2 linked regions of the Alligator mississippiensis genome follow. The protein of the gene in region 1 interacts with the protein of each later gene in a pairwise test. Links are inferred from orthologs where the notes say so. Each region holds a gene or a part of one and is shown on either strand. Other genes may lie near its edges. The genes, in order: CREB3L1 and FXYD3.

Region 1 (15,422 bases):
CTGATCCAGTGAGGCCATAGAACTCTTGTGAACTAGCTCAGGTCTAGATTTTCTATTGGCTTGCCCATGTCTCTTGCTATACCATGCTAAATTAACTAGCCAAAAGCATGAAATGAAATGAACTTTACCAGTAGGATAGTAGTGAATTATAACACTTTGGATATGTGCCAGAGTGCAGGACTGGCATCATCCCCAGAGCAAGCTGTGTACTTATCATAACAGCTGGCACCCCTTCCAGTCAGTAGTAAGGGGTGAGAAATTGATGAGAATTTCTGGCTGAGCTTTTAACTCTATCTGTGTGCTGGGGAAGCTTGGGCAGTGCAGGGTGATACTTGTCCCAGTGCCAAGCACAAACACAGGGCCTATGCACTATTTATGTCTTTCAAATGTGGCAAATTTCACATGTGCCACAGGTGGCATGGGCAGCCTCTGTGTGGAGCATGTGGCAGACCAGGGAGGGAGCAGGCAACACAGCAGCAGATGGGACAGGGAGCAGAAAGCAGAGCATCAAATCAGGAAGGAAGCACAGAGCAGGGAGCAGAAAGCAGAGAAGCAGATTGTACAAGAACACAGGACAGGGAACAGAAAGCAGAGCCACTGACTGGGCAGGAAAAGGGGACGGGAGTAGCACTCACAGACAGTGTGGAACTAATCTGTGGCATGCCTGCCAAAGAGGCTGGCCTGTCACTAGCTTAATAAATGTAAATGGTACATAGGCCTTCTGCTGGCTGTCTACATGGAGGTGATTTTATCCACAAGTAACTAAGCTACATTCATCTTCTCTGAAGAAAACCTCTTCACAGGTCGTTTTGGGACTGTTTTTAGGGCAGCTCAGCTTAATGCATACAATTTGCTATATAGCTCAGATTTGGGGGGTGGGAGGAGTTGGTGGCCATCATTACCAGATTACATAATAAAATACAGTAGCACACAGTATGTTAACATCATAGAATGAACATAAAACAGCAAAAAATGGAACTGACTTGTACAAAACTACTTGAGGAACAGTAAAAAAAATATACATGGCTCTTTTCCCATTCCAATAAAGCATACTCTTTATCAAACAATACCAGCTGCCACATTGTTGTACTTGATTTGTTCATACAATTAAAGACTGCAGTGTAGCGCTTAAGCTCATGGAGCCGAGTTAAGGTTACTGTCAAAATCTCAAACCCTCAATATCCAGCTGTTGTCAAAGAAAATCTCAACTGGCAAATAGCTGGTTTTGCATTTAGTTTCTTTTTCAATGTTAAAGAAAGCATGGGTTTCAAAAAGCACCCTACCTGCTTTATCTGCTTTAACTGAATGTTCACCCCCCTGAAACAATCTTCAAAGATATACTTCATGGTGTCCAAAAAAAGAAAAAAAGTTTGTATTGGCTCAAAAAGAAGCATGAGCATCCTATTTCCTGTTTCAGTTGTTCTTTCTGGCTGCCTCATGACACAAGAGTGTCATAAAGCTACTGAAGCATATTGGTGAATCCACCTCAAAATATAACCATTTCTGAGAGTTATGAGACACTGATAAGAAGGGCTGAGAGAGCATGAAAGAACTCTCTGACTGTCACTGTAATAAAAACAGAGAGTGAATGAATGCACTCTGTCAAAAATAATTAAAACTGCCAAAGCCTTGGTTGGACAATGCAGAATACAGCCAGGTAAAAATCAATAAGTAAACATTGCTTTAAGGATTAGTCTAATTTATGAGGAGCCCTTTCTAGTAAAAAGCTTAACAAAGTCCTTGAAGTTTAAAAGCAGCAGGCTGCATACTGAGCTAAAGTAGAATCTGATTTTATGGTCAGTAGAAACTATATCTGAGGCTTGTTAGCCACAGCATGTCGAACAAAAGGAGCATTTTCCATAGACATCATTTTCTGCTTGAGATCATTTATCCACATGCTAGGTAGACATGGCACTTCATCAAGCTTCGCAGTTGCCTAATAATGGGTAGGTGAGCAAGGCACAATCCCCAGGTGCTGCCCAAGTGGGGGGCACCAGAATGAATCCAGGGGGCACCTCACCCCCCTGTCTCCCATCTCCCTCCTCCTGCACCTTCCATGCAGTGGCTCCACATCTGGCAGTCAGGAGGGCAGAGAAGCAATGATAGAGTTGGTTGCACCTGGGTGCTGGTAGCAGCCAGTGCAGGGACAGCAGCCAGCAGAAACAGGGTGATATGGAGGAGAGGTATCGGAGAGGGTTAAGCCTCTTGCCACTTTTTTTTTTTTTTTTTTTTTTTTTTTGCTGCCAAAAATTAGTATCCAATGGCTGATCTACACACAGTTTAGCAGCAAAAAAGGAGGTGATACCTTTCCCCACAGCAGCAAACCTCCAGTTGCTTCCCCTGAACTGTTTACTGCCACAGCCTGTGCCACAGAACTTGGCAAGTTCCACCTCTGAAGTTGTCTGCTCTATGTATTAGACACACTTAAACCAGTATTGTTCAAGTATTCTCTTACAAGCAGCCAGACCCTCTTCAGTCACATTTATTTATACATTCCTGGATGCACCTATTCATGTGTTGCCACAATTTCAGTTTGTTTCCACCTTAGATTACAGGTGTTAGTAACAACTGCTTAAGGGACAAGAGAATTAATAAAGAAAAGTTACCATTTAAAGAAAGGCCTTTTATTTAGCACAACCTCTTTACAGGGAAAAATCAGACATGGTTAGAAGCCATAAAAATTATGAGGTTTCAAAATCTGTTTTGATCCGGCATTGAATGAAAAAAAATCCAGAGCTTTCACAAATTTTCATAAGGAAATGGAAAGGGAGAGGAAGACAGACCACAACCCCCAGAATAACCAGTTGCCCAACAGTTTGGCACTTATTCAAGGCGTGGGAGACCCAGCTTCACAGTCCTTGTTCTGTCTAAGTCAATGCAGGAGATACAATTTTTCCCTGCATCTCAGGTAAGTGCTATAACTTACCAGACTTAAGAATGAGTCTCTCTAGGCTAGTGGTTCACAACTTTGTGGGCTCAAGTCACCCCTCATTAAACTCACAGCACCCCTAGAAAAATGCCATATCTTAGCTTTCACTCATTTTTGACTGTGGAAAGAACTCAGAAAGAGCACAAGTCAAAATATTCATGACACTGGGGATTCCTACTTGAAATCTCTGGGTTTATCTTGTAAAATGTGTTGGTGTTTGCACACCTAACAGTGCTAGTATTGTGTGGCACTCCTTGGCACCCTGCTCTAGGCTGTAAAGAAAATGGGCTCCCTCTTTCTGTCTCCACCTCAAACTCTCCCTTGCTCTGATTTTGACCAAAAGTTCCATCCCAGACCTGAGAAAGCTTCCTGACAAAAATTCTGTTGAACTGATATGTTTTTGTGAAAACTCTTAGCTTCAAGGAATCAACAGTTTATGAAGCAAGAACATTTCATCAAAAATACCTGACCAGCTCTAGGAAACACATTTGCTGCACAATGCCCAGAAGGTCTCCATGACAAACCTGAGGCCTTCCTGAACTGAGGTCATTGGTAGCTCTGAGAATTACCATACAAACAGCACTTTGAAATTCAGTGCAGCCCTTCAAAGAGCAACTATGGAAAAATAAGATCTTCCTAACAGAGCTCCTTCTCACAAAGACAGTAAGGCTTACTGGTTTTACTAATTGACATACAAATGTATTCCTTTTTCCTCTTGTTCTGTATATAAAACCAATAAAAAGCACTGGGATATATTCTGGTGCACATAGCCTCAATTAATTTGCTAGCTACATTAAGATGGCCAGTTCTTTATTGTTGATCATGCACAAGAAGAAAAAGCTCAGTTTACGCTCAGATGCCAGGGGGAGTTTTTGTGCTGGCAGTTAGAATTGAGTTTACTTTATTTATGAAGTTTGCTCAAAAGATCCAGAGTCAATGAGAAATAATAGGAGTTGAAACCCATCACTGCTTTCATAATTGCATTCAGAATAGAAATGCAATTTAAATCAGACAGGAAAACATCATACTGCACAAAGAAGACACATTTTAAAGATACAGTCAGGTAGCTGTCACCAGGTGGTGCTGTTACATAGTCTTCCAAGTTCCCTTTTTAGGGTTTGTCTACACCTAAAAGTTGTACCACTTCTCCTGTACCAGTGGAGCTAACCATACCTGTACCATTAAAATAGTATGACTCACGTGGTCAAAGTTATATGGTATGAAGAATCTTCTATTAGCACAGATTATCCTTATATAGGAAAGGGAATAAGCCATGCTGGTATGAGATGCTTATACACTAGTGTAACTGTACACCACAGTAGGGTTTTTACCAGTAAAACTATTTATGGAAAATAGTTACACTTTTAAGCAAAATGTCCATGTTGTCCATGTTCTGCGTGGTACACTGGAGGGCCTGTGTTTATGTGTGTGATCCACTAGAAGTACCCTGTATGTGTGTGTAAACATCTACCAAGTGTCACGTGAGTATGTATACTAGGCCTTGGTGAGAAACAGTTCACTCTTGATAAGACCTCATGTCTAGTATGAGGTTCTGGGATCTGTGTGAACACAAGGAGATCACTTTGCTGCCTGTGTGAGTCTCTGGAGTCAGTTCTTGAGACTGTACTGCACCCTGCACATGGGACATTGGTGCTGAAATGACTGAAAAGGGGGAATTACCTGCACATAGTTTATGACATTCTCTGTTCCAGGGCTGGTATAAATTTAAAAACTTATATTTAGAAGTTACCCAGACCCTGCATCACTGATTTCTGCTCCATAGGAATGGCAGTCTGAAAGGTTCCTGAAGCCTGTCACTGTCAGCAGAAGGGCAGCAATATTCACACTGTTATTTTAAAACCAACCATCCTCGCACAAGGTGAAGCTCACGTTCCTCATTCAGAACAGCAAACATCCTTGCCTGAAGTTGTAAAGTAGCCCTACTGTCCATGTGAATGCACAAACTCTCTGGACAATCTTCTTTAAGGTAAGCATACACAATACAGTGATGCCCTGGGATTATTTGATATTAACAGAACAGATATTCTTCCCAGTTCACTATTCATCCACTCCCTTCTCTAAAGTAAATCCCCTGTGCATGAAGGCCACTCCAAAAACATCACTTTACAAACAAGCTATAAGCAACTGAAAGCAGAGGTTTCATCAAGAAGGGCCTCCTGCCCCCTACAGTCTCGCCAGTGCTGTGAGAGTCAAGAGTTGAGCCAAGAAGCAAATTGCCACAACAGGTTGTGGAATCTCCCTGAGACTTGGCACCTTGTTAGGAGATCTGGTTTAAAAAATGCAATAAGTCCTGCCAAGGGGCTGCTGATCCAGGGGGTCTCCTCACTCCCTGCATGTGAGTGCCTATGCATGCCAGCACCTTTGTATAGCATCTGCTGGAGGTCTTCAGGATCTGTGGGTGTGCACATGCGTGCTCCACAGAAAATTGTGCCTGGCATGCACTACAGGAGGTCCACTGAGAGTGTGTGAGATCTCCTGGAGGCTGTGTAGATCCACTCGGAGGCCCTGCCTAATGTGTGGGATCTGCTTGAAGGTCCTCCTGTGAGTGTGAGGGTGATCCACTGACAGGTGTGTGGGTGTGAGACCCCTCCTGTGTGTATGTGACCAGTGAGTGTGGGCAACCTGGGTGTGTGACCTCTGTGTGTGTGTGAGACCACAGAGTGTGTGTGTGACCTGTGTGATCAGTGAGTATATGTGACCTGGGAGCCTGTGTCACCAGGGAGAGTGTGTGTGTGTGTGTGTGTGATCTGTCTGTGTATGACCAGTGTGTGTGTGTGTGCGTGACCTGCAAGTGTGTGAACAGTGAGTGTGCATGTGTGTGTGGGTGTGTGTGTGAGACCAGGGCATTATGTGACCAGGGAGTGCATGTGTGAGTATGACACCAGGGAATGTGTGTGAACAGGGAGTGAGTGAGTGTGTGTGTGCGTGTGTGACACCAGGAAGTGTGTGTGAGAGAGACACCAAAGAATGTGTGTGAACAGGGAGTGTGTGTGTGTGTGTGTGTGTGACACCAAGGAATGTGTGTGAGTAGGGAGTGTGTGTGTGTCACCAGGGAGTGTGTGTGTGTGTGTGTGTGTGTGAGAGAGAGAGACACCAGGGAATGTGTGTGAACAGGGAGTGTGTGTGTGTGTGTGTGTGTGTGTGTGTGTGTGTGAGACACCAAGGAATGTGTGTGAGTAGGGAGTGTGTGTGTGTGTCACCAGGGAGTGTGTGTGTGTGTGTGTGTGTGAGAGACAGAGAGACACCAGGGAATGTGTGTGAACAGGGAGTGTGTGTGTGTGTGTGAGTGAGACACCAGGGAGTGTGTGTGTGTGTGTGTGTGTGTGTGAGAGAGAGAGAGAGACACCAGGGAATTTGTGTGAACAGGGAGTGTGTGTGTGTGTGTGTGTGTGTGTGTGTGTGTGTGTGTGTGTGTGAGAGAGAGAAAGACACCAGGGAATGTGTGAACAGGGAGAGAGAGAGAGAGAGAGAGAGAGAGTGTGTGTGTGTGTGTGTGTGTGTGTGTGTGCGCGCGCGCAGTGGTGCCCCGGGCCGCCTCCGGCCCCTTCCCGTCCCGCTCCTCCGCCCGGTCCCGCGGCGCCGGGAGCGTGGGCCGCCAGCAGCCGAAGCAGCCCCGAGGGCAGCGCAGCTCCCTCCCCCGGCCGGCCCTCCCTTACCACACTGCCGAGGAAATCCGCCTCGTTGAGGTCGCCCAGGTCCAGGAAGCCGGAGCCGGCGCCGGGGAAGAGGCGCTCGGCGGGGAAGGGCTCCAGGAGCCCGTCCATGGTGCCGGGCGCGGGGCAGGGCAGGACAGGGCAGAGCAGCAGCGCCCGGGGCTCAGAGCCGCGCCGCCCGCCGCAGCGGGGCCCGGAGCTGCGGGCGGAGCGGGGCCCGGCTGCCTCGGCGCTGCTCCATGGGGCAGGGCAGGCACCGGCTCCGCGCCCGCTGTCACCGCCGCTCGCCGCGGCTCCCGGCCCGCGGCACGCCCCGCTCCCGGCCCCGGGGCGGTGCCTCCCCGCCCTGCCCCGCTGATGCAATCCCGGCCCCGGCTCGGGGCGGCAGGTCGCCTCAGGGGCCGCCTCTTTCCTTCCCCCTGGGGGGGCTCCGACCTATCTCCGCAGCAAGCAGGTCACACACACACACACTCACTGGTCACACACTCATCCCTCCCCCTGCACCCTGCCCTGCTCAGGGTTGTCTCCCCCCGTCTCCAAGTTGGCCCATGAATGGCTTCACTGCTGCTGAACCAGCCAGCAGCCATGTGAAAGCCTTTCCACAGGCTAGGAGAGGTGACGCCAAAGTCCCCTGTACCATGCTGATATTTCCGAGGAAGCTTTAGGGAGGCCAGGTGCAAAGGTGCTGGGGTTAACAACCTGAGGAGCCTTTCAGTCATGGTCATGGAAATGGCAGTGCCTACCTGCCCCTGGAGAGGTGATATTGTGTCTCTCCTAGGAGAGGCAGCACCTTCCACACCAGGAGAGGGCCCTGGGCTCCCTTTGAGTCTGAGATAGGTTGGTGATGCTGAATCACAGAATTATAGAAAATTAGGATTGGAAGGGATCTCAGGAGGTCATCTAGTGCAACCCCCTGCTCAAAGCAGAACCATCCTCAACTAGATCATCCCAGTTAAAGCTTTGTCTAGCCAGGTCCTAAAAACCTCCAAGGATGGAGCATCTACCACCGCTGTGTAACCTTTTCCAGTGTTTTACTACCCTGCTAGTGAGAAAATTCTTCCTAATATCTAACCTAAACTTCCCTTGCTACAACTTGAGACCATTGCTCCTTGTTCTGTCATCTAGCTCCATCTTCTTTCGAACCCCCCTTCAGGTAGTTGAAGGCTGCTATTAAATCCTCCTCAGGCTCCTCTTCTCTAGACTAAACAAGCCCAGTTCCCTCAGCCTCTCCTCAGAAGTAATGTCCACCAGCCTCCTTGCTATTTTTGTTGACCTCTGCTGGACTCTCTCCAATGTGTCCACATCCTTTCTGTAGTGGGGGACCCAAAACTGAACCCAGTATTCCAGATGTGGTTTCACCTGTGCTAAATAGAGGGAAATCACTTTCCTGGACCTACTAGCAACACTCCTACCAATGCAGCCCAGTATGCCATTAGCCTTCATGGCAACAAGGGCACACTGCTAGCTTATATTTAGCTTACTGTTCAGGACCCCCAGGTCCTTTTCTGCAGAGCTGCTGCCCAGCCAGTTGCCCCCAGCCTGTACTGGTGCATGGGATTGTTCTGTCCTAAGTGCAAGACTTTGCACTTGTCCTTGTTGAATCTCATGAGATTCCTTTTGGCCCAGTCCTCCAACTTGTCTAGGTCACCGATCCCTGCAGCACAACAACCCCCACAGCTGTCCCAGCTGTGGGTAGAAGGCAAGCTCAGCAAGAGTGTCACCTACTGAATTCCCAGCACAGATCCCTGCAGTCTCTACAACATAGGAAGCTGATTCTCTGGGAGAAAGACTGAAATTAGATGATGCCCTATTATGATTTCAGATTGACAAACTGAAAAGTGAACCATTCCTTTGGCAGGTCCAGCGCTGACACCACTAGCTGTCGACAGAGCTACAGTGACTCTCTGTGTAAGGACTAAGGCAACCATAGCAAGAAGAGCCAAAAAAAAAAGATTAATCTTTAGAGAGTTCAGTTTTTACATGAAATGGAAAGCATGCAGATGATACTGCATGAAGATGATACTGTCAGCTACCTCCTAAGAGTCAGCGCAGGTGGCAGCAGTCCATCTGGCTGCTCTGTAATTAAAGACTCAGGCATCATTTAAGAGCTCCAGGAAGATTATATAGCTTCAAAAATAGGATTATGGATCCCTCCCCTCTCTGATCCTTGCTCTGGTGAACTCTCAGAAAAACCACTTATAATAATCCTCTCATGATGATCTATCTGCCCTCATAGCTCAGCACAGTGACCTAAGGAGTCTTGACTCCCACAGGGCTCTCCCTGGATTCCTGTGATAGGGAAATGAAGCATGAAGATAAGGTTGTCTCCCAAAGGAAACCTGGCTGGTGGCTTCTAATGGCAAGAGTTATCTAAAGAGATGAACTGATCAGATGAGGAAATGTATTATGGTGATACTTGGGAGGCTGTTTGATTCAGACCTGGGGGATTCCACACACAACTAAAGATTCACATGTGTACTCTTCTTCACACCCTATTTAGGCCTCAGGACAATAGTTCAGCTCTTATTCCACCTGTTAGGAATCTAAGCAACACTGAGGCATCTAAGCGAGCCTGTTCTGTCCTGCTTGAGTCCCAGAAAAGCCAGTACATCTACTTTTGTAACACACCACCCCCTTAGTCTTAAGACTAAGTCACAAAGAGTAGCAAAGAGGAGCCCATCTTCTGCATTAAAAGTCTTTCAAGAACCAGAGCAGGGTGGAATAGGATTGCACTTTGACATATATGTGTAAGTACTGTTTAGATGCATAATAGGTGGAATGGGAGCTAAGCCTAAGACTACAACTAGTAATCACCCTCTGATCAATCTGCTTGGCACTTATCAGACCAGCTGCAAGCCCACATCCCCAATGTAAAGGATGCCACTCTCTGCACACACAGATCTGATTCTCATTACTTTACATTAATTTATTCTTTGCTTATGCACACTGAGGTGTAAAGTAGCTGTTGTGTATATGAGAGTAGGGAAATAGACTCAGTTGGCACTGTGTGGGGTTGTAATTTCAGAGATGACTCAGCCTCTCATTCAACAAGGATGGATGGAATTAGGGACCTGCATTTTAAGGAGAGGAAAGAGGAGGAAGTTTGCAACACCTGTAGAAATACAGTTTCCAGTGTGGTGAAACACTGGGACCCAAAACAAAGCAAAACTTACACTACCCTAACATATAGTCCCTGCTACTAGAAGTGTCTCAGACTCAACTGTCTACAGCAGGAGAAACACAAACCAATATTACTAAAGGGTACTGGTGAGTGATGAGAGAGTCCCATTTTGGTGGTGTTAGAGCCTTGCTCATGCTATTTCCAAAAGGCCAGGAATCTTGGTGAGATACACAGCTTGTTCCCACTGTGTTCACTCTGCCTGCATTTAGGCGGAGAAAACATGCTTATCATAGGATTCTAACATTTCTGGGCAGAGCCCTAATTTTGTCAGCCTAGGAGCAGTGAATATCTTCCTTTAAGATGCTGAGAGAAGGAACTAAATAGAAATTCCCACAATGGGAACGGCAGATAAAAGGCATCCCCATCTCCCTCAGGAAGGAGAGCATAGACTCCTTTCCTCCCAGCTTCCAAGTCAAAAGTCTCTTTTCCTTCCTTCCTTCCTCTTGCCCCTAGGTTAAGGTTGTTCGGGATGAAGGTCCATCATTAGAACTAGATTGTGATGGCTGTACTGAGGCTGAAATAGCAGTGAGTGCTTCAGATGATGGCTGTAGTGAATTGGTAGAGCTATAACAGGGGACACTTACACAGTGCCTGCCCTCATTAGCCCAATACCAGTGCCTTTTTTACACATTCAAATTCATCCAATACTTTTTAAATTACTTTAAATAAAGAGTGTCTGGTTTAGCATCTCATCCAGACTACCCTAAGGAAAGCTCTTTTCAGGAGCTATGCTCTGATTACTCTTAGCACACAGCAGGTGAACTATGGGAGGGGTGTGAGGTAGAGCTACTGTTTGCACTAAGTAGGAGCAGTGTCATCAGAGAAGGTCAAGATTCATTTGTGTGTACTGTAAAGGAAAAGTACTTTGACACATGCAAACAGGGACTTACATGGACTCCATCCCAAAGGTTAAAAATATCTCAGAAAAAAATAAATCTCTGGCTCAAGGACACTGCTTTGTCTTACACATCTTTTCCAAAACATGTTTAAGCATAAATGTGTTGGTTTTTCATAATGATGCTGTGCATACACAGGTGACAGATGAAGACACTGACTTTTCCTTTCTAGTACTTGTGCTGCAATGCCATTATAAAACATTCTGGAAGAGAGCCAGGATAACCAAGACCCTCTACAGCACTTGCACAGGGGGGACACAACATTCTTTTCCTGCTGGGCTTGGGCCTACGCTTATTAAATTCAATGTAAGTGTTGCCACTGACTTCAGTGGCTGCGGGATCAGATCTTTAGCGCTTAATGGAGGAGCTGTTTCTGCAAACTGAGTTCAAACTGGTAGTCTTGTATTATAGAGGGACAAAGAGATTGCTGGGGAAGGAAAGAGGGTTGTTACATGGTAACAGAAACACTTGCTGTTATAATTGTTATCTTCCAGGGCTCCTAAGTCTTAGGTTTAAGCTTAGCCTTTATACTTACCTTTTCCCTCAGAGCTCATCCAAGAAGGCTGAATCTTTTGTTTAATAGGATAACAGATTGCTTTAAAACACACATACACACATCAGATGCTATTTTTCTGCCATATCTCATAGCTGCACAAGGATAGAGATAACACAGCCTCACATGGGTAAGATCAGATAACATACCAGAAGTGTCCCTTTATGGAAAATGATGCAGTTAACGGAGATTAGACTAACAGAAGGTTACTGATTAAAATGATTCTGAAAACCTATAGATTTTAACAGAGAATTAACTTCTTTCTATAGTTTATTGAACCATCCTACAGAGCTTTGAGAAGATTTGATGTTCTAATTTCATTGCACAGGACTTTTCCACAAGAGACGGTGCCCCTGGGTAGCAGGTTAAGTTCCCTAGAGTAGAACATCTCCATTCAAATTGCTGTAATGAAGGAGAGTTTTGACAAACTTATACCTTCCTTGACTTGCTGGCTATATTCCTAGAAGGTGCTGAAGGCATAAAACGTCCCTTTCCTTTAAATCTGTTTGTTCAAGGGCCCTAAGATGGACAGCAAAGAACATTCTGTTTAAACAAACACGAAACTGATGCCAGTGAATCTCTGCTAGCTTTTCATGATTGGTTCCATAACTATTTGTACAGTATCAGAAGCATTGCTGTTTACTGGAATAAGCAAAAGGGTTTTAAAAATAAAAGCACCCTAATCTTCCCTTATCTCTGTGGCTGAAAAACCAAATGGGCCTCATTCTCCTTTTTGTGTAGTCATTTGTACCCGTGGAAAGGGGATGTAAAATTATTTCAATATAGTAATGCGTTATACCTTTGTACTCACTCTGCACAGGGTGACAAGATGCATGGCAGTGGAGAATTGGATATGCATAAAGAAACCAGTCAGTTTTGGAAACACCTTTTCCATTTTATAGCTTAAAAAACTGAAGTTGTTTCCCCAAGGCTGTGGTAAGATGTTTAATAGGCCCAAGGAGGCTGACTGTTTCTTTAGGAATGTGGGGTGAATTGTAAATGTCTGTGTTCTTTGGTTTTCTGTGTATACATTGCTTTGTTACAGGAGGGACTGTTTGGATGGAGGTTTGCCTTCATTTTCAGCCCAGATGGCCATTTTTAGGATGATTCATGATGTTAGAACTGTTTGCTTTGGGGTTTGAAACATTTAAACTGGCTTTTGAGATTGCTACCATAGCATGAAGGTTTTGCTTCAAGTATGGCTGAAGATACCATTGACCTGTTTATTTCTCCAGCTTGGATGTTCATAATAACTAAACTGCTAGCTTCTATCTCACACTTTTTCACCCCTCCACTGAGTTTATAGAAGAAACACTTCCATTCGTACTCTGCATTATTGATATTTCTTGCTAATTGTCCTCCCTCCAGCTCACTCCCTTTCTTTTCTAAATATTACTTGCATTCTTCATTATTTGTTGACCCAGGAAAGTTTGCTCATTGCTGTGTAGAGCACATAAGGCAAATCACGCTGTAGGTGGCTCATGGAGTTTACAGTCTAACAACCCAACTGTTGTCCTCCTTTCTACCCCATGCAACCCCACTGAGAACAGGGCTGCTCAGGCATGAGCGTGGGCTGAATTTCCCCCTGGTTAGAAAAAGTGGCTGTGCAGTCCAAAGATGATCTCATACACATATTGGATGCTCCATATGCAGTACTTGAGGATCAAACTTTCATACAGCCATTTTTGTTCTGTTTTGTTTGTGAAATTGAGAAAGCATGAACAAGGCAGAATGGATGATGGGCAAATACTGAAAGGCCTTGCAGTATCTTTTGAGAAGGAATTTGAAGATATTTGGACCTTTCTTTCCCTTTTGTCCCTCAGCCCTGCCTCATCCAGGAAATCTGCCCAGCATTTGATTTTCTTCCAACTGATGGTTTGAATGCAAACTGTTTTTCCTTGCAGCTGGATTCAGCTGCTTTCTATTTCCTGCTTCCTTGTCCATTCTGGCCTCTGGACAACTACAGAGAACACCTGTTCACACCCCACTGTGGGGGGAAAGATCAAAGAATTCACCCATAGCTTACCTTTCTGCTAGGCCTAGGGGAATGAGGAAGAGCTATGAAATTACAGTGTTCATAAATCTCTTCCAGCACTTCAAACAGGAGACAAGTTATGTCCTGTGTGTCATTGTATGTGCAGATATGCAGAGTGGTGCTGTGGATGGCATTACTGACCTCATATGGTGTGCCACGGGTCTGTCAGTATATGTTTATGAAGTTGGTATCACTGAACTCATGCAGTGTGCTTGCAGTACAATGCACAGTCTCAGTATTCAGTGTGTGTTTGTGAAAATGTGTACACACAAACTATGTTTGCTCAGATCTGTAGGAAGTGCAGGGGGTAGTGAATAGCATATTAATTGCATTTTAACATGTGGCTGAGATCTATGAAGGCTGTGGTTTCAGTAAGCACCCAGATGCTCCTCAAAGAATGAAGGAAAAGCCACAAACGGATGTCTACACTGCATTTACTCTTTCTGAGGTGCACTTAGTGTCCTCAGACAGAACTAAATCAGCTTTTCAGAGACTGAATGAATCCAGAGAAGAGAGGGAATAAAGAATTATGGAAAGGCAATATTTTATAAAAGACATGTTTGGCTGCAAGATCCCAGAAATGTTCCTCCAAGATAGTTGCTGTGCTCTTGTAGAGATGATTGAACTGCCAATTTCTGCTCTTTGGTAGGTTGGAAAGTTAAACCTCAGCATGACTTATGGATAAATAAGCACTCAAGGGTGACCTATACAAGGAGAGAGGCAGTTTGTGATCTGCTTTGCTTCTTGACAGTGGATTAAGGATTTTTAGGTTTTTTTTGCTTTCTTCATAAAGAAAAGTTTTTCTTTCCTGGCTTTTTTTTACCTTAAAAATAGTAGATATTAGGTATTGTCTCCCCTACTTTTGTTAGAGATCTCCAAAGAGAACCATTAAACTGCATTAGGAACTTTCTGAACATGTCATTGAAGAGGACAGGGCCTTTACAAAGACATTGTTACTGTGGCAGTACTAGGCCCCAGGGGCAGCTGTAATACCCGGTGGTGATCACACAACTCCTGAGCCACTCTGGTTTCTCCAAGTCACCTCCCTTTTCCTCTCACCTGCTGCACCTTGATGGAATGATTTTATTGTGAAAGGGAAGCTGCCCCAGGGTCCCAGCCCTAGCCTGTTTTGTCCAGTGGGTCCCTCCTGTACCCAGCTGACCCCAGTCCTGCCCCTGAAACAATAAGTGGAGCCCTTATGGAGGCCACCAGCTGCCTTAGGGGCCATTGGTGGCCTCCTTCCTCCCCTGTAGCCATGCCTATGCTTCACAGATATCACTCTGTTCCCATTTACCTTCCTGTATATGCTTTGGCCTTCTTAGCCTTAGCCTACAGGTTACTCTGATAGTAGACTGGTAGCCAGTTGGCCTGGCCTTTCAGCCTTAGCCACTCATTGGCCTCTGGCCACCTGCTCTGGGCTGAGGCTCTGTCCCTCTCAGCCTCAGTCTGCTTCTGTCTCACATCCCTGTCTCTGACAGGGCTCAAAACCTGGGGTGCCCCTCAGGCACCCCTGTGACCTCCTTTATAGGTTTCATAGGCATTAGGGCTGGAAGGGACCTCGGAAGATCATCGAGTCCAGCCCCCCGCCCAAAGGGCAGGACGTCAGCTGGGGTCATAGGATCCCAGCAAGATAAGCATCCAGTTTCATCTTGAAGGTGTTCAATGAAAGCTCTTGAACAACCTCCGGTGGCAGGCTGTTCCAGACCTTGGGGGCTCGGACAGTAAAGAAATTCTTCCTTATGTCCAGCCTGAAACGATCTTGTAGTAGTTTGTGACCATTCGTCCTCGTCATCCCTTGGGGTGCTCTGGTGAACAAACGTTCCCCTAGATACTGGTGGTCACCCCTGATAAACTTGTAGGTGGCCATCAGATCACCCCTGAGCCCGCGCTTTTCCAGGCTAAAGAGCCCCAGGGCTCTCAGCCTGTCATTGTAGGGTCTGCTTCCCTGACCTCTGATCATGCGCGTGGCTCTTCTCTGGACTCTCTCAAGCTTCTCCACATCCTTTTTGAATTGTGGAGCCCAAAACTGGACGCAGTACTCCAGCTGCGGCCTCACTAAGGCCGAGTACAGGGGGAGAATGACGTCCCGGGATTTGCTTGAGAAGCATCTATGGATGCAAGCCAGCGTTTTGGTCGCTTTACTAGCCGCAGCAT
Region 2 (16,329 bases), on another chromosome or scaffold:
GCTACAGTGGCTGCAGAATTGGCAGTAGCTGCCCATTTTGTGGTGGCTTTAAAAGGGTTCATGCTAATCTTTTTTGGCCTGAAACAGGCCGCGTAGGGCCAGCCAGTTGCTGGATGTGGTTGGCCGCACCTGTGGGAGGATCTTTTATTTATTTGTAGTCTGCCTTCCGAAAAACAAGATGAAAATCCAGCGTTCAGGGATATTATGAGCAAAAAACCAGAAAAATGAGTTTCCCATTCAATGTAAGATCTCTCCAACCTCGATACCAATGTCCCTCGGGCAGCGATTCTGAACTGGGTGTTGCTCCTCCCTGGGGGATGCCGTGAGATCCTTTGAAGGGTACCACAGGCACTTAGCACTATCATTTGTGCAGACTCCTACCCGTGATTCACCAGATCAACCCAGAGTTTTCCAGTAGCAGTCCAGGGAGTCTGAACCCTCCTGGGGCCTTTTAACAGGAGAATCCCACTAGGATTTTTCCATAGGCAAGAAAGCAGTGAAAGTGAAGAGCTGGGATTTTCAGAAGGGGCCCTGGAGTCTAACAAGGGGAGGCCTGGCATCAAAAATAGCTGAGAAGCACTGCTCTCTAGGTCCACCACCTTGGAGACAGATTTGTGTACTGAGCTGCATTGCCCATGCCCATCTGACTCTCTCCCAGAGCTACAGCATAATTAAGTCTTCTCTAGGCTTTGGGAATCTCCCTTCTCCCGCATTCAGGGCCTGGGATTAGGCTCCAACTCTCCATGAAGGCGGTGTGGGCCTGGCATGGGCTTCAGGAGGGGGCGGGCATTGTGTGGAGAGGAGTTGGAGTCATTGCCAACACCTCCTGAAGTCAGCAGCGGAGGGGCCGGGGAGGCTCTGCCAGGCTGAGAACATTGATTCACTCAGCAGGAAACATTGAGAGAACTTGGGTTTAGAAAACTTGAGATTAATTGGGGGAAAAAAAAAAACTAGGGTAAAGGAGCTGCATCATCTGGACCTTGGTGCTGGCCAGTCAGGGACCCCTCAATGCTTGCTGCATCCAGCGCCTGTGGTGCCCACTCTGGAGCAGGCACCACATATAACATGGGTTCTGGAGCAGGCATCGCGGTCCCAGACTGGCTGGAGTGAACCGCAGGCACTGGATCTGGCATGTCCAATCCGCACTGTTCATCCAGCCCACAGACCAGTCCTGGTCATCCCTACTCTGTGGCTTGGCTAAAATATCCAACAGCTTCCAAAAGAAGGTAGGAGAGAGGCCGGGATTCCTTAGGTTGAGACCTTGTATTGGACTAGTGTCATCACCTGGGAAAGAGTTAATGACCCGTGTCATCGCCTGGGACCGAGCTAGTGACTGGAATTGTAGCCTGAGACAGAGCTAGCAACCAGCGGCATCACCCAGGACACAGCTAGCAACTGGCATCATAGCCCAGGACAGAGCTAGGAACCAGCACTGTTGCCCAGGGCAGAGCTAGCAACCAGAGGCATCACCCGGGACAGAGCTGACGCCCAGCGCTGTTGTCCGGGGCAGAGCTAGTGACCAGTGTCATAGCCCAAGACAGGGCTAGCAACTGCTGTCATAGCCTGGGACAGAGCTAGCAACCAGTGTCATAGCCTGGGACAGAGCTAGCAACTGGCAGCTTCTCCTGGGACAGAGCTAGTGACCAGCATTGAGGGTGGGGACAGAACTAGCAACTGGTGTTGTAGCCACATACAGAGCTAGCGAGCAGAGTCATAGCTGAGGACAGAGCTAGCGACTGGTGTCATCACTTGGGACAGAGCTAGCAACTGGCAGCATCGCCCAGGACAGAGCTAGTGACCAGCAGAGTCGTAGTCGGGGATAGCAGGGGGTGAGAGAGATTCTCAGGGGCAGCAGACACCCAAATAGCAGACACACAATTACATGTGCTTGTTGAGTGTCTGCCTCCCACTCAAGATTTTCCCACACCCCCTCCCTTCAGCTGGTGTTCACCATGCCGGGCCCGGCTTGCAGGGATCAGAGACCTGATGAAGCACATCTCTCATTCAAAATCTTGGCTAACTTAATCTCAGCTCCCCAGTTGGTGCCATAAAAGTGGTCACCCTACCTCTGATGGTCCCATCCAGCCCCGCTTCCCTACAACTCTCCGCCCTGGCCCGGTTATGACTCCCTGGTGCTGTCCTCTCTCCCCCGCAGGTGGATGGTGTGGCCCAGCCCTTGCCCCTGCACCTGCCAGCCGCAGGTGTCAAGGTCCATGCAAATGGGCTGCTTGTGGCACTGAGCACGGGTTTTGGACTGCAGCTCCGCTCCGACCTAGCCCATGGCCTGGAGCTCATCCTGCCCCCAGCCTTCCGCAGCCACACCTGCGGGCTCTGCGGGAACTTCAACGGGACCCCTGATGACGACGACCTGCTGCCGGATGACTCCCAGGCACCCGATGCCTCCAGCTTGGCTGCGGGCTGGAAGGTGGCATCAGTGCCTGGCTGCACTGATGGCTGCCTGGAGGTGTGCCCGGGCTGTGCCCAGGATGCTAGGCTGGTGGCAGCAAAGTCCCAGTGCTGGGTGCTCCAGGACCCCGATGGGCCCTTCTCCATGTGCCATGCCCAGCTGGACCCCAGCCCCTACATGTTGGCCTGTGTCTTCGATGTGTGCGTGTCTGGCGGGGACACGCGTGTGCTGTGCCCTTCCATTCAGACCTATGCCTCTGCCTGCCAGCGGGCAAATGCCAGCATCTCCCCATGGAGAAACAACTCCTTCTGTGGTAAGTAGACCCCTCATTACCTCTGAGCTCCTTCCACCAGAGATAATCCCTGGTTTGTCACCCTCTCCATCCCTCCCAGTCCAATTCCCACCAGTATTGCACCCAGGTCTGGTCCCCACACCTCCCAAAGGCTAGACCCTCAATACTGGAGGAAGAACAAAACCCAAGAGAGAGGAACAAAACCCAGCTCAGAGCCAGCTCACTCTCCCTTCTGGCCTCTGCTGTCTGCTGACATGTGACCCAGGAGATGGGGCAAGACAGATCTAAGGTCTGATTCAGTCAGTGGCAATTTTTAGAGTAGTTTTCCCCTAAGCACTCTTAAAAAATACCTAACAGAGGTGCAGAGCCCTTTGGATGGCTAATGTGGGTATTCACATGCTTTTGTTTCATCACCGTCATCTTTCGTGGACCCCTTAGACATAGTCTGCAGACCCTCCAGGGGGTCCACAGACCACAGGTTGGAAACCACGGTTCTGAAAGAAAGTCTGTGGGGATTTATTACCAACTGTGTCCCATGATACAAGAATGAGGGGTCACAGTGCAAGGCAGGGCACGACTCCTGCATTGTGTGGTGGCAGAGAGCAAAGGCCAGAAAGGAGAGGGAGCTGAGTTTTGTTCCTCTCTGGGCTCATTTACACAAGATGCATTTAAGGCACATTAGCCTAAATTTAAGGTGCATTAGGGCATGCATCTACATGCGCGTGCCGTTAATGCGCTTTAAAAATGGTGTAGGTACACAGGTATCAAATATAGGTGCAATTAGTTAAGATGCGATTAGTTACGGCACATTAATGCTGTGTGTGCCGACTGACTTGGGACTAACTTGAGTCCCATGTTGGTCCACACACAGAGTTAATGCATGTGTAGACGCATGCCTAAGCCTGCTTAATGCACATTAAGCTAATGTGCATTACATTTAAGTGTGCTTATTTGCACATGTAGACACACTCTTTCTTGTAGCCCCCAGCATTGAGGGTCTAGGTCTCTAAGAAGTCCTGATTCAGGGACCAGGACCCTTGCTGCCATGCTCAATAACAAGCAGGAATAGTGTCCTTGTCCCCGGATAAGCAGATCCTCTGTTTGTAGCCTAAGGGTCCTCTTTTTTCTTGGTACCCACATGGGAGATGCCCCCATCCCAGCACTTGGACTCAGTCTCTTTGCTTCTTCCTGTCTTTCCTTTCCCCGCATCCTGAATTCACCCCCATTCCTTCCACTGGTGCTGTTTTGGGGGCTCTAGATCCTACCTCTGGGTCCTGGCTTATCTCAGTCCCATTGAGTGGTCACCCGTGAGTAGAACGCTGGTGGTCCGGTTGTCTAATCTGAGCTCAGGATGGTGCTGGGGTTCTTGACTGGCTTTGTCCTCCCCACAGCCCCCAGGTGTCCAGCCCACAGCCACTACCAGCCCTGTGCAGACCCCTGCCATGCAGCCTGCCCCCATGCCACCTTGTGCCCATCACCATGCATGGAGAGCTGTGTATGCGATGCTGGGTTTCGGCGTCACGGCACCAGCTGCGTTCCTACGGAGGAGATCCCAGAGCCCACCCATGGGCCCCAAGTCAGTGTCATGGCATGGCCTACCATGCGTGTCATCGACCGGCCGGGGCGGACCTAGAACCTGCAGATGATGTGGAACACAGCACACGTGGATAAAAGGAAACTGAAAGCTTTGCTACACTGCTTGGGATGAAAGGCTGGACGATTCGGTTTCAGGGGGAAACAGAAACAACTGGACCTCTACTGGATGGTGCATGACTTGGCTAGAGGAGAGGCATTGGCACAGCACAGTCCTCATCCCCAGTCTGGGCTGCAGCCAGCACCCAGGGCTTCCAGGGGAGGCCTCCAAACCCCCTGACATGGAGCAGCAAGGGTGGAAGCAATTCCCTCCTGGCTTCAGGAAAATCAGAAGGTTCCCGTTTGATTCTTGCTCTGTGCCTCACATGTTGGTGCCTTGTCCAGGGGAGTTGTGCACTCTCCAACACTGGAGGGGGTTCAAGGAGAGGCTGGACATACACTGGTTGGGGATGATCTGGGTGGAGCTAGGCCTATGCCTAAAGGGAGTTGTGCATTCTCCATCATCTCCTTGAACTTGAGGGTTCAAGGAGAGGCTGGACATGCACTGAGATCATCTAGGCATTGTGATGCCTGTGCTCTGCTATGGGGATGTTCCAGGCTTCTGGGCTTTGCTTGTTGCCCCCTTAGCCCCATTTTCTGCTCCATGTGTCAGGTGGTTTTTAAGCCTCCCCCAGAGACTCTGGGTGCTGGCTGCAGCTCGGGCTGGGGATGGGGACTGGGCTGTGTGAGAATGCTCCTGCTGGGACCAACTCTGCAGGCTCCTGACTAGAGGGTCTTGCCCTCTGCTCAGGCTCAGACCGATGCCATATCTGGGGTCAGGAAGGGATTTATCCCCTGGTCAGATTGGTACAGACTTGGGGGGGGGGGGGGGGTTGCCTTCCTCTGTAGCAGGGGCATGGCCTCTACCTGGGGTCCCTGGAGTGTCTTTTAACAACCTTCTACAGCAGCAGGACTTTGGTGGCTGCGGTCCCCCTGCTTTCCCTGGGGCAGGTTCGGATGCAATAAATATCTGGGGTCGTGTCAGGGTTGGCAGTAGTTTTACAAAGAGGTTTGATGCTGGATGTGTCTGGGGTGATTTGGACAGAGCTGAGCCTCAGGCAGAGGTTGGACTGGATGTGACCTCTGGAGGTCCCTTCCAGCCATACATATAGGACTCTGTGCCTCTATATGACCTCTGGAGGTCCCCTTCACCCTGACATCACTATGACCCCATAATGATGACTATGACCTCCAGAGGCCCCTTTCACTCTGACTTCGCTATGATTCCCTATTACAAAATAATCACAAGCTGCTCTTTCTTTTGTTCTCTCCTTCCAATTAAAAGTACTCATGAAACAGCATCTGGCCTTCTTGAGCCCTGGGCGGTGCTTCCAGTGGACACTATTTTCCTCACCATGTGGATGTTCCCCCAGGTTAATCTTTCCACACCTGAGTGGGTGTGTTTTAGCTAGAGTTAAATCCAGTCCAGAGGGCCAGGGGCTGGAGAGGAGGAGCTACATTAAGAGACAGCAGAATTGCACCAGAAGAGCAGCCTGACTAGCAGAAGGTTGGGGCCATTCAAAAGGAGAGAGAGTCCTTTAACAGCTGGGCAGTGAAGACATCAGGAGGAATTGTGGGGGCAATATTAAGCCATGATAGATTCTTGCCTGGATAGAAATGCTACTGCCTCTCCCAGGCAGTTGGTTTTGGAGTCCAGTAGGGTAGGTATCAAAGGGGGGGGGGGCAACTGGGACCCAGGGGCAGGTTCTGGGGGTCCCTGAAGCTGAGAGCATTTCTCCCTCTTTTCTCACCCCCGACACACAGGCTGTAACAGCCGGCAGCTTTTGTGCCTGGTGGGGCGGGGCAAGGGGGTAAGAGCCCCGATTTGGAGGTCCCTGGGGCAGGAGCAGAAGTTGCAATGGGACATGAGTTCAAACCCCACCATAGACCCCAGGCAGTGCTTTGCCCCATAATGCAAAGGAAGGTGATGTGGCACTCCCACCTACTTTGCGGCCCTGCCAGAGCCACCTCCCTCCCCCAACTTCTTGCCCAGCCTTGGGTGCTGGGTTTGAGTCCCGGCATTGGCCTGCCCTGGCCCACTGAGGCAACAAAGACTCCAACCCCCGTGGCAACCACAGCCCGTGGAAACTGACCTGGAGGATGTCTCCTGGGCCAGGACCTGGAGCCACGATCCTGACAGGGTTGGCTGCACATCTGGAGCTCACCTGGGCAGGTACCAGGAGCCGTTGGCTGGGTTCGGGGGTTACAGAGGAGCTGCTCTGAAAGCAGCGAGTGGCTGAAGGTGCTGGGTGGAGATAGCTGGGAGTCCAGGGTGCGTGTCTCCCTGCTTGGAGTGAGGGGCATTGGCAGAGCTGGGGGCACAGGGACAAGTGGCTGCAGGTTGGGAGTGAGGGGTACCAGAGCTCCCTCAAGGGCCCTGGGGGAAGCCCTGAGCTCTGCTGGCTCCAGCTGTGACACCATCACAGGGTACGAGGGGGCCTGGGAGCCTGGATGCCTGGGTTCTCGCCCAGCTGTGCAGGGGGGGAAGGGGAGGGGCCCATTTGCTCCACCCCAGAGCCAGCTGCATGTTCCTCCTCCCACACATGCTGCCTCCAACCCTCCCCTCCCCCCCAGGGAACCCAGGCATCCAGGCTCCCAGCCCCACCCGTGCCCTGACCCAGGCCCCATCCAGGGGGCAGCCAGCGGGGACAGGGAGGAGGGAGGCAGAACCCAGGCGTCAGGGCAGCCCCCATCCCCCTCCCACGGCCTTTGGCTCCTGCAGCCTCAGCTGGATCCAAGCCTCAAAGCCGCCTTGTTCCCTGGCCAGCACCGGACAATGGGCCTCTGTGCGGCCGGTGCCCCCCACTCCCAACCCCCAGCTCTGCCGGTGCCCCTTACTCCCGACCTACAACCCCTCTACTCCCTGGTGCCCCTCACTCCTGACCCGCAGCCCCCCAGCCCTTCTAGTGCCCCTCACTCGACCCACAACCCCCTGCCTGCCCAGTGCCCCTCACTCCCAACCCACAGCCCCCCCACTTATACCCATGGTGTCCCTCACTCCTGACCCGCAGCTGTTTTCTGGCCCTGGCGGGGGGGCATTGAGCTGGCACTAGCTCCACATTCCTGCCTGGGCTCCTTTGTGCCTCCCTGGGCGCTGGCACCAACCCCCCAACCCCCGCTGCAGCTCCCAGCCCTGGGCATTGGCGGGCGGGGGAGGGGGGGGCACAGACTGACTGGCGGCAGCCTCTAAACAGCTGCCCGGGCCAAGATGTAGCCAGCTACAAAGGCCCTGCTCCGGGCCAGGCTCCTGCAAAGCCGGAGGGAACCCATGATGTCTGGGCTCCCAGCCCCTCTGTTCCCACCCCACTCCCACACCCCAGACAACCCAGGCATCTGGGCTCCCAGTGCCCCCTGCCCATGCTGTCACTGGGGCCTACTGGGAGCCCAGTGACTGCCTCTTCTCACCTTATCGCTGGCGGTGCCAGGCTGCAGCCAGGCCCCGATCCCAGCCCAAGATGGTGCCAGGCAGGGATGGGGAGAGCAGAGAACCCAGGCACGCAGGCTCCCAGCCCCCACACCTGCTCTCACCCCTAGGCCCCACTCCCCTCCCAGAGCTGGAGGGAACCCAGGCGTCTGGCCCAGCCCCGCTGCCCGGCCCCGCCCTCACCTGCCCAGGTAGCTTCAGCCTCGTCTCGGCTCCAGGTGCAGCTCCCTTGTCTCTGGGGTGAGTTTGGGGGTGGGGGGGCAGAAGCATGAAACCCCCCCTCCCCTGAACCCTCTCCTCCAGGCTGTGGGACCCAGGGGATGGGGGCCCGGACACCTGGGTTCTCTTCACAGCCAAGCCAGGCCCTGCCGGGGTGCTCGGCCACCATGTGCCTCAGTTTCCCCATGTGTGGAGCAGGGGGACCAGGCCTGGGCCTGGATGGAGGGGGGCAAGTACCATCCCCTGTGCTTGACCCTGCTGCCCCCCTGCACAGCTGGAGAGAACCCAGGCATCTGGGCTCCTGGACCCCCCTGCTCTCACCCCCCAGGCCCCCCTGCCCCCACTCTCCCAGAGAACCCCGGTTCGGGCCCCAGCCCCCCCCAGAGAACCCAGGTGTCCGGGCTCCCAGCCCCCAACCCCTGCTCTGACCCTCCCCAGACCCAACTCTCCTCCCAGAGCTGGAGAGAACCCAGGTGTCCGGGCTCCCAGCCTCGCCTGCCCTGATCCCCCAGCTCCTACTCCTCTCCCAAAGAACCCAGATGTCCAGCCGGCCGGCCAGCCTCCCAGAGCAGGAGAGAACCCAGGGCCCGGCTGCCTCACCCCACAGCAGCCGGGAGCCGCCCCAGCCAGGAATCCAGCCCCGGGCTCCCGCCAGCCAGTGACTCAGCCATGCCCCCCCCCCAGGGTGGAGGGGTAAAACAGGCCCCAGACACCTGGGTTCCCTGGCTGAACTAGGCCCTGAGAAGGAACCCGGGCATCCGGGCTCCCAGCCCCCCTGCTCTCAACCCAGCCCCTCGTGCTACCCCAGAGAACCCAGGCGCCCAGGCCCCCAGCCCCCACTCCCCTCCTGGGAGCTCCCAGACACCTGGGTCCCCTTGAGGGGAGGAACCCGGGCATTCGGGCCCCCAGCTCCCCCTGCTCTTGCTCCCAGCCCCTCATGCTACCCCAGAGAACCCAGGCATCCGGGCCGTCCACCCCCCAGCTCTCCCCCCCAAGCCCCCACTCCCCTCCTGGGAGTGCCCAGATGCCTGGGTCCCCTCGAGGTAGGGAACCCAGGCGTCTGGGCAGTGACGGTGCGTCTCCCCCAGGCCCCAAGATGCTGCCCGGGCTCCAGGTGCTGCTGGCAGGTGAGTGCCCCTCCCAGTCCCCCCCTCCCCCAGGATCAGGCCCACCTGGCCCCTGGGGGCAGCTCACAACCCTTCCCCCCCACAGGGCTCTGCCTTCTTGCCCCCCTGGTCTCCGCCCAGGCAGGTGAGTTAACCCTTCGCACCCCAGCCCTGCCTCCCCCAAGGGAAAGGGCCAGGTTGAACTCCAATGGGGGTGGGAAGGGGCAGCGGGGGAGGGAGGGGGAGAAGAAGCTGGGGGGGGCATTGGATTAGAAGGGGCTGAGCAACCCAGGTGTCCGGGCTCCCAGAACCCCCTGCTCTCAGCCCCCAGCCCTCACTGCCCTCCTGGAGAACCCAGGCATCCAGGGTCCTGGCCCCCACCCCCTCTCGTCCCCCAGCCCCCCCATCTACAGTGGGGTTGGAAGACGCGTCCAGGCAGTGTAACCCCTGACCCTCTCTCTCTTCCCCCAACCCCAGATGGGAATGACCCCTTCCACTACGGTGAGTATGAGGGGTGACAGGGCGGGGCTAGGGCAGAGGGGGAGGAGCTAATGGGGATGGGGCTGAGACAGAAGGAGAGGCCTAAGGGCTGGGATTAGGGCAGAGGGGGAGGAGCTAATGGGGGAGAGGGAGAGCTGGGGCAGAGAGGATGGGGCCTAAGGGCTGGGGACATGGCTAAAATAGAGAGGGAGGGGCTATTGGGACTGGGGGCTGGGCTGGGGCAGAGGGGGTGGGGCTAATGGGGCAGAGATGGGGGCTGGGGCAAAGGGGGCAGGGCCTAGGACCTGGGGGTGGTGCTTAGGTTAGTGGGGGTGGGGCCAGGATGGAGGGGGGTGGCTTCCAGGGTGAGTTTGGGCCTGTGGGCAGGGTATGGGAGGCAAGAGGCGGGGCTGGGGGCAGCAGTGGGCAGGGCCAGCTGTGACCCTGCCCCCTGCCCCACCCCCAGACTGGCACCGTCTGCGCATGGGAGGCCTGGTGGTGGCGGCCGTGCTCTGCGTCATGGGTATCGTGGTGCTGCTGAGTGAGTGGGCAAGCCCAGGCCAGTGGGCGGGGCTGGCTGGGGTTCCATCGGGCAGGGCCGGGATAAGGGGCGGGGCCTGCTGCATTCCCAGGAGTTCCCGGGGGCAGGGTGGGCAGGGCTGGGGACAGGGCTTTCCTCTGTCTGACCCACCCCTTTGCCTCCTAGGTGGGAAGTGCAAGTGCCGCCGTGCCAGGTAGGAGCAGGGGGTGTGGCTTGGGGGGAGGGTGGGGCATGTCCTGGATGCTGACCTTCCCCTGTTTTCTTTCCCCCCCCTTGCAGCCGCCGCCCCCCAGAGACCTCCAAGCTTCTGGTGCCAGGTGAGGCCCCGCCCCCTGCCCCACCCCGCAGGGGTCAAGGGGGAGGTCAGGGGTGGCTGCCCCCCTCACCCTTTCCCCTCTCCTTCTCTCCCGCTGCAGGAGCTGCCAGTGCATGATGCCCCTGGAGACCTCCTTGTCCCGCCCCCCACGTAATAAACGGCTGCCCTGAGGTCAAGCGTGCCGGGATGCCTGGTTCTGTGGGACAGGAGGGTGGACTGCCGGGGAGAGGAGGAGGAGCCAGGAGCCCAGCCACCTGGGCTGTGTGGGGGGCCAGTGGGTGAGAGCCGGGGGCGCCGGGAGCCCAGGTGCACATTGGTTGCGCCATACATGTAATGTCTGCCAGGACCATCCCAGTGCTTTGCATTGGGCATATTTACATAGCGCGGGGGGGGGGCAGCTAGTGACATCACGCAAGAATTGGTGCAACGAATAGTGAAAAAATTGGGAGAAAAAAGGCAAAATTGGGCAAAAAAAAAAAATCCCAAGATAAGCCAGGAGCCCCCAAAATGTCTGTGAGAAGCAGCAGGAAAATTTCCCTGTGTCAAGCTCCCCATTTTGGGCTGAAATTCACAAAATTGGGGAAAAAATCCTAAATGTTATTGTGGGAAGGCTGGAAATTGAAGGGAGGAGGGGCAGAGAGAGGAGATGAGGACTCTGCTGGGGGGAAATGGAAAAAAAATGGGGGGGAGGCCATTGTTGATCAAATCAATGAAGCCAGATATGCATATTTTTCGCCAAAAAATAAGTAACCCCTCCACCCCACATTTTTGTTCTAAATAGCCTTTTATTTCACTCAATTATGTGTGGTTTTTTAACCAAAAATTGCATGGTTTTGGTTAAAAGATCAGGCCATAGACCAAAAATGTGTGTTTTTTGGCCCCAAATGCACATTTAATGTTAAAAAAAATAAGGCCAAAACAGCACAATTTTGGATAAAAGGACAAAAAAAAATCACATTATATCTTTGGTCAAAAACAAGGCCAAAACCTGCACATTTGTGATCAAAAAGTAAAGCCAAAAAATGAACATTTGTGGTCTTAATATCCTTATTTTTAGATCAAAATGAGTGTTTTTGGCCAAAAAATGCAGTTTTATTTAAAAAAAAAAAAAGCCAAAATGGTACAATTTTGGTAATAAGGCCAGAAAAGCATTTTTGGGGTCAAAAATAAGGACAAAAAAATTGATTTTTAGTAAAAGATGAGTAAGGTAAAAATGCACATTTGTGATAAAAAAATAGGGGCAAAAATGCAAACTTTTAGTAAAAAAGGCCAAAAATACACATTTTGATTCAAAACAATTATGTGGGGGTTTTTGAGGGGGGCAAGAAAAGAGCAAGATTGGTTAAAATACCCTCAGGAAAAGAGCTCATAGCCAGATCCCTGGAAATAAAATGGAAGAAGGAAATTCGGTTGAAAAGAGCCAAATTCAGTTAAAACAGAAAAGGCCAAAGAGCAAACCCAAGTAGAAAATGAACATTTTTGGTTTAATTGAAATACAGCCAGTTGAAGCGTTACAAAAAAAAAGCTAAGAGAAAATGGGTTTAAATCCAGGAATTTCCCCCAAAAGGGTTGAAAATGCCCTAAAATTATTTGGGGGCCGGGGGGGCTGATGAAGCCTCCTCTTTTGCCACCCCCTCCCGCCCCATGACAGGGTGTGGTATTACCCCACCTGCTGCCCTCTGGAGCCCAGGGCAGGTCCTTCTTGCCACTCTCCTGCCCCCGAGTGGCTGTGGCAGGGTATTACAGCCCCTCTCTTGCCCCCTGGTGGCTGTGGTGGGTATTTTGCAGCTGCCGACCTGCCCCCTGATGGTCGTGGTGGGTATTACAGCCCCCGACCTGCCCCCTGATGGCCGTGGCGGGTACTACGTCCCCCAACCTGCCTCCTCCCAGCCATGGCAGGGTACTATGGCCCCCAACCTGCTCCCTGGTACTACAGCCCCTGATCTGCCCCCCAGTGGCTGTGGTGGGGTACTACATCCCCTGACCTGCCTGCTGGTGACCGTGAGGAGTATTACAGCCCCTGACCTGCCCCCCAGTGGCTGTGGCAGGTCCCGCTCCGGGCTTAGGCGCTGAGGTCCACGAGGACGTGGCGGTAAATCTGGGAGTTGCCTGTGAAGCTGGAGATGAGGACGAAGTGATGGGGGCCGACGGGCACGGGTGCCAGGGCACGGGGTGCAGGTGGCGCCAGCTCCTGGCCAGGCACGAACTGTCCAGCACTCGGGTCGAAGCGGTATAGGCGGCTGTAGGCCACATCGCTGCCCAGCAGGGCATAGAGGCGCCCGCCCAGCACCAGTGGCTGGAAGAGTAGCGACCCTCGTGCCGGAACGGCCTGGACCTCACGAAACAGCGACCCCTCCCAGCGCAGCACCTGGCAGGCACACAGCGTGCATGGTGCTGGGGGCGGGGTTAGCGATAAGAAACATGGGCTGGGGGCAAGGGGTGGGACTATGGGAAATGGGGGGTTGGGGTGAGACTATGGATAGGGGGCAGGGGTCTGGTGGGGCTATGAATGGGCTGGGGTTTGGAGGGTCTGGGGGTGGGGCTGTGGGAAACAAATGGGGGTCTGGGGATGGGGTTATGAACATGGACAGGATCTGGGGCCGCAGCTACGGATAAGAGCAAGGTCTGGGGTGGGGCTACAGGTAGGTCCAAAGGCTTGGGTAGAGTCAGGGTTTGGGTGTCTGGAGGCGGGGCTAGTGGTAGGGGTGGGGCCTGGGTGTCTGAGGGCGGGCTATGGGCAGGGGAAGGGGTCTGGAGGTGGGGCTACAGGCAGGGCCATGGTCTGGGGGGTTGGGGGTGGGGCTATAACTAGGGGTGGGGGGTTGCTGTCTGAGGGCGCGGCTACAGATAGGGGTAGGTTGGACTAGGGGTGGGGTCTGGGAAGTAGAGGTCCAGGCTAGAGGAAGAGGGAGGGGGGTCTACGAGTCTTGGGGGTGGGGCTACAACTAGGGGCAGAGCCTGGGATTCCCAAGGGGGCGGGTCTATGACTAGGAGCAGAGTCTGGGAGCCCAGGGGAGGCTAGTCTATGGCCAGGGCCAGGATCTGAGGGGCCTGGGGGGCACAACTACCACTAGGGGGCATGGCCTAGGAGGCCTAGGGGGCAGGGCTACAGCTGGGGTGTGGCTTGGGTACCCTAGGGAGGCGGGGCTACAACTGGAGAGGTGGCTTGGGACTACAAGTGGCGAGCGGGCGGGCTCCAGGAGCCCAAAGGGTGGAGCTCCCCCTAGGGGGGCATGGCCTGGGAGCCCCCAGGGGCGGAGCTCCCCCTGGGGAGGCGGGGCCTCTCACCTTGGCATCGCCCATGTAGCGGCTGAGGCAGACATAGAGCTGCCCGGGGCTGCCGGGGGGCTGGAAGTGGCGCACGGCATAGACGTCCTCAGGCGCCGGGATGTCAGTGAGGCGGCGCAGCTGAGCGCCAGCACCTGTCCCAGCCCAGCGATACACGACTGGGCGCCGCGCCCCGGCTGCCACAATCAGGCCCGGCTGCCCACCAAGCTCCAGCGCCTCCACATCTGTGTCCCGGTGCCAAGCGGGCAGGGCTTGGTGGGGGTAGAAGCCCCCGCCCCGGCCCCGGCTCCGATCCCAGCGGTACACGGTGCTGGCCCCGGCCTTGGAGCTGTCAGCCACGGCCACGAACCAGGCCGGCCCCACACGAAAGGCCTCCACATCGTGGGGCCGCCGCAGATCCCCACCCAGAGCCTGCAGCCGCACGAAGCGGGCCCCGGGGGGTGCCCCCGGCCCTGCTCCCTCCTCCTCGGGCGCCGCTTCTTCCTCTGCTGGCTCTGCCCCCTCCAGCTTCCAGACGTGGGAGCCACCGCGCAGCTGTGCCACCACTACCACCAGGCGGCGCCCCAGCACCAGCGGCTTGCACGCCACCGGCGATGTGGCTGTGGGGGGAGAACGGGCATCAGAAGAGTCCCTGGAGCTTGGAGGATTATAGGGGGAAGAAGGGGGTCTCTCGGGAGCTGATGGATGTGGTGGGGTCCCTAGAGGGGTTCTAAGGGGGGCCACATGGCTTTGGAGGGGGTCCCTGAGGGTGGTGGGAGGGGCCGAGGTCCCTGGGCGGGGGTCTCAGCATTGGTGGGGGCAAGGGGCTAGGGCTTCACTGGTGATGGTGGTGTAGGTGGGGTTGCTGGGGGCTCGCTGTTGATGGCGGCATGAGGGGATGTGGGGGGTCCCAGAGGGGGCATTCACCAGTGATGGCGGCGTGGGTGGCAGCTGTTGCAGGGGTCCAGGAGGGGCACTCACCACTGGTGGCACGGCAGAGGGCTGGGAGGGGGGTGCTCACCATTGATGGCAGTGTGACGGGGGGCTCCAAGGGGGTTCTCATCATTGATAGTGGCATGGGGGGTGTCAGGGGTGGTGGGCGCTCACTATTGCTGGTGGTGCGGGAGCTCTGGGCTCAGCCCGTTCACCAGCACCCAATGGGACGGAGCCCAGCTGTGGGGGACAGGGTACTCAGCGGAGGTGGTGATCACCATTGACAGTGGCGTGGGGGCTCTGAGTGGGGTGCTCACTATGGCTGGTGGCAAGGGGGTGGGGGGGGGCCCCCACCATTGCTGGCGGAGTGGGTGGGGTCCGGGGGAGGGCACTCAGCATTGATGGCAGCATGCAGGGGGGGATCCAGGAGGTGCTCACTGTTGCTGGTGGCATGGGGGGGGGCTGGGAGGTCTGGGGTGGCACTCACCATTGATGGTGGCATAGGTGCGGAAGGCACCAGCCAGCTGGTCCCAGTGCAGGAGGCCACAGCGCCCGGCGAAGGGCTGTGCCACGGCCACCAGCGTCTCGCCGCGGAACCGCACCGGCTCCACCGACAGCGCCTGGAATGGCAATGCCTGGAACGGCACCAGCTCTGTGCCAGCGCCGGAAGGGAGGTCAGCTCGCCTGCTAGGGGCCTGCCTGCCACCACCCCTCGCCCCAGGAGGAACCCCAGACATCTGTGTGGGGCCATACCGGGCACAAGGCAGTCAAAGTCAGGCGAGCGCAGACGGCGCAGGGGCAGGTGGGCACGGGCGGGTGGCGCGTGGCACTCCCCCACCTCGGCGCTGGCGTTAGTGGCCACCAGCCACCTGACCAGCCACAGGAGGCCGCAGTCACAGCGCAGGGGGTTGCCCCGCAGGTCCCTGCCAGGGTCAAGGGGTCAGGCCCCACCCCCTGCCCACCCTACGCTCCGCCCTCTCTCCCTCCCGTTCCTTCCGTAGTCTCCTCCCCCACCAAGACTTAGGCCAGTCAGTGAACAGCCCTCCCTAAGCCCCGCCCACAGCCTCCAGGCCCCGCCCCTCCCTAAGCCCCACCCCTACATCCCCTGCCCCAGTGGCTGCACCGCACTCCTCCCACACATTGTCCCACTCAGTCCCCTTTCATGCCCCACCCACAGCCTCCAGGCCCCGCCCCTTCACTAAGCTCCACACCTCAGGCCCTGCCCACAGTGGCACCACCCCATTCCAGGCTCCGCCCACACACAGAGCCTCCTTCACGCTCCCACAGCCTCCAGGCTCTGTCCCCCACACCTTACACCCCACCCACAGCAGCACCACCTCATTCTTCCCCCACATTGAAGCCCCCTCTCATGCCCCGCCCACAGCCTCCAGGCTATGCCCCGCCCACCCGGGCCCCGCCCCGTCTCTCTAGCCCCGCCCCCACTCACACGTGGGTCAGCGAATGGAGCCCGCGGAAAAGGTGCGGGGGCAGCGTCTCCAGCTGGTTGTCAGCCAAGGACCTGCGTGGGGGGGTCAGACGGGGGCCACAGGGGTCACGGGTGGGGGTGGGCAGGGAGGGAGGGAGTGGGGTGGAAATGGGTGGGAGGTCACAGGTGGAGGAGAAGGGAGGGAATGGTCCTGGGAAGAGGTCACGGGTGGGGGTCAGGAGTGAGCGGTCCTGCCGCAAAGTCCTAGTGGATAGGCAGGGAGGTG

What was found.
Region 2: the proteins of CREB3L1 (region 1) and FXYD3 interact in binary tests that used the Homo sapiens proteins (3 or more experiments, as listed by UniProt). The two-hybrid records come from large-scale screens. The link is inferred for Alligator mississippiensis from reciprocal best matches to the Homo sapiens genes CREB3L1 and FXYD3.

Annotation. Positions count from the first base shown.
Region 1 is NC_081825.1:226,887,950-226,903,371, reverse strand, and holds the start of CREB3L1 (cyclic AMP-responsive element-binding protein 3-like protein 1), read right to left. Parts: upstream 6,903-15,422; 5' UTR 6,715-6,902; coding exon 6,607-6,714; intron 1-6,606.
Region 2 is NC_081838.1:28,361,551-28,377,879, forward strand, and holds FXYD3 (FXYD domain-containing ion transport regulator 3), read left to right. Parts: upstream 1-7,917; 5' UTR 7,918-7,995; intron 7,996-9,062; 5' UTR 9,063-9,070; coding exon 9,071-9,101; intron 9,102-9,186; coding exon 9,187-9,225; intron 9,226-9,557; coding exon 9,558-9,581; intron 9,582-10,026; coding exon 10,027-10,101; intron 10,102-10,266; coding exon 10,267-10,294; intron 10,295-10,380; coding exon 10,381-10,418; intron 10,419-10,517; coding exon 10,518-10,534; 3' UTR 10,535-10,593; downstream 10,594-16,329. Other genes in the region: IgGFc-binding protein-like, read left to right, coding at 2,156-2,728; leucine-rich repeat LGI family member 4, read right to left, coding at 12,480-12,785, 13,706-14,304, 15,105-15,269, 15,371-15,540, 16,065-16,136. UniProt on the Homo sapiens protein: Associates with and regulates the activity of the sodium/potassium-transporting ATPase (NKA) which transports Na(+) out of the cell and K(+) into the cell.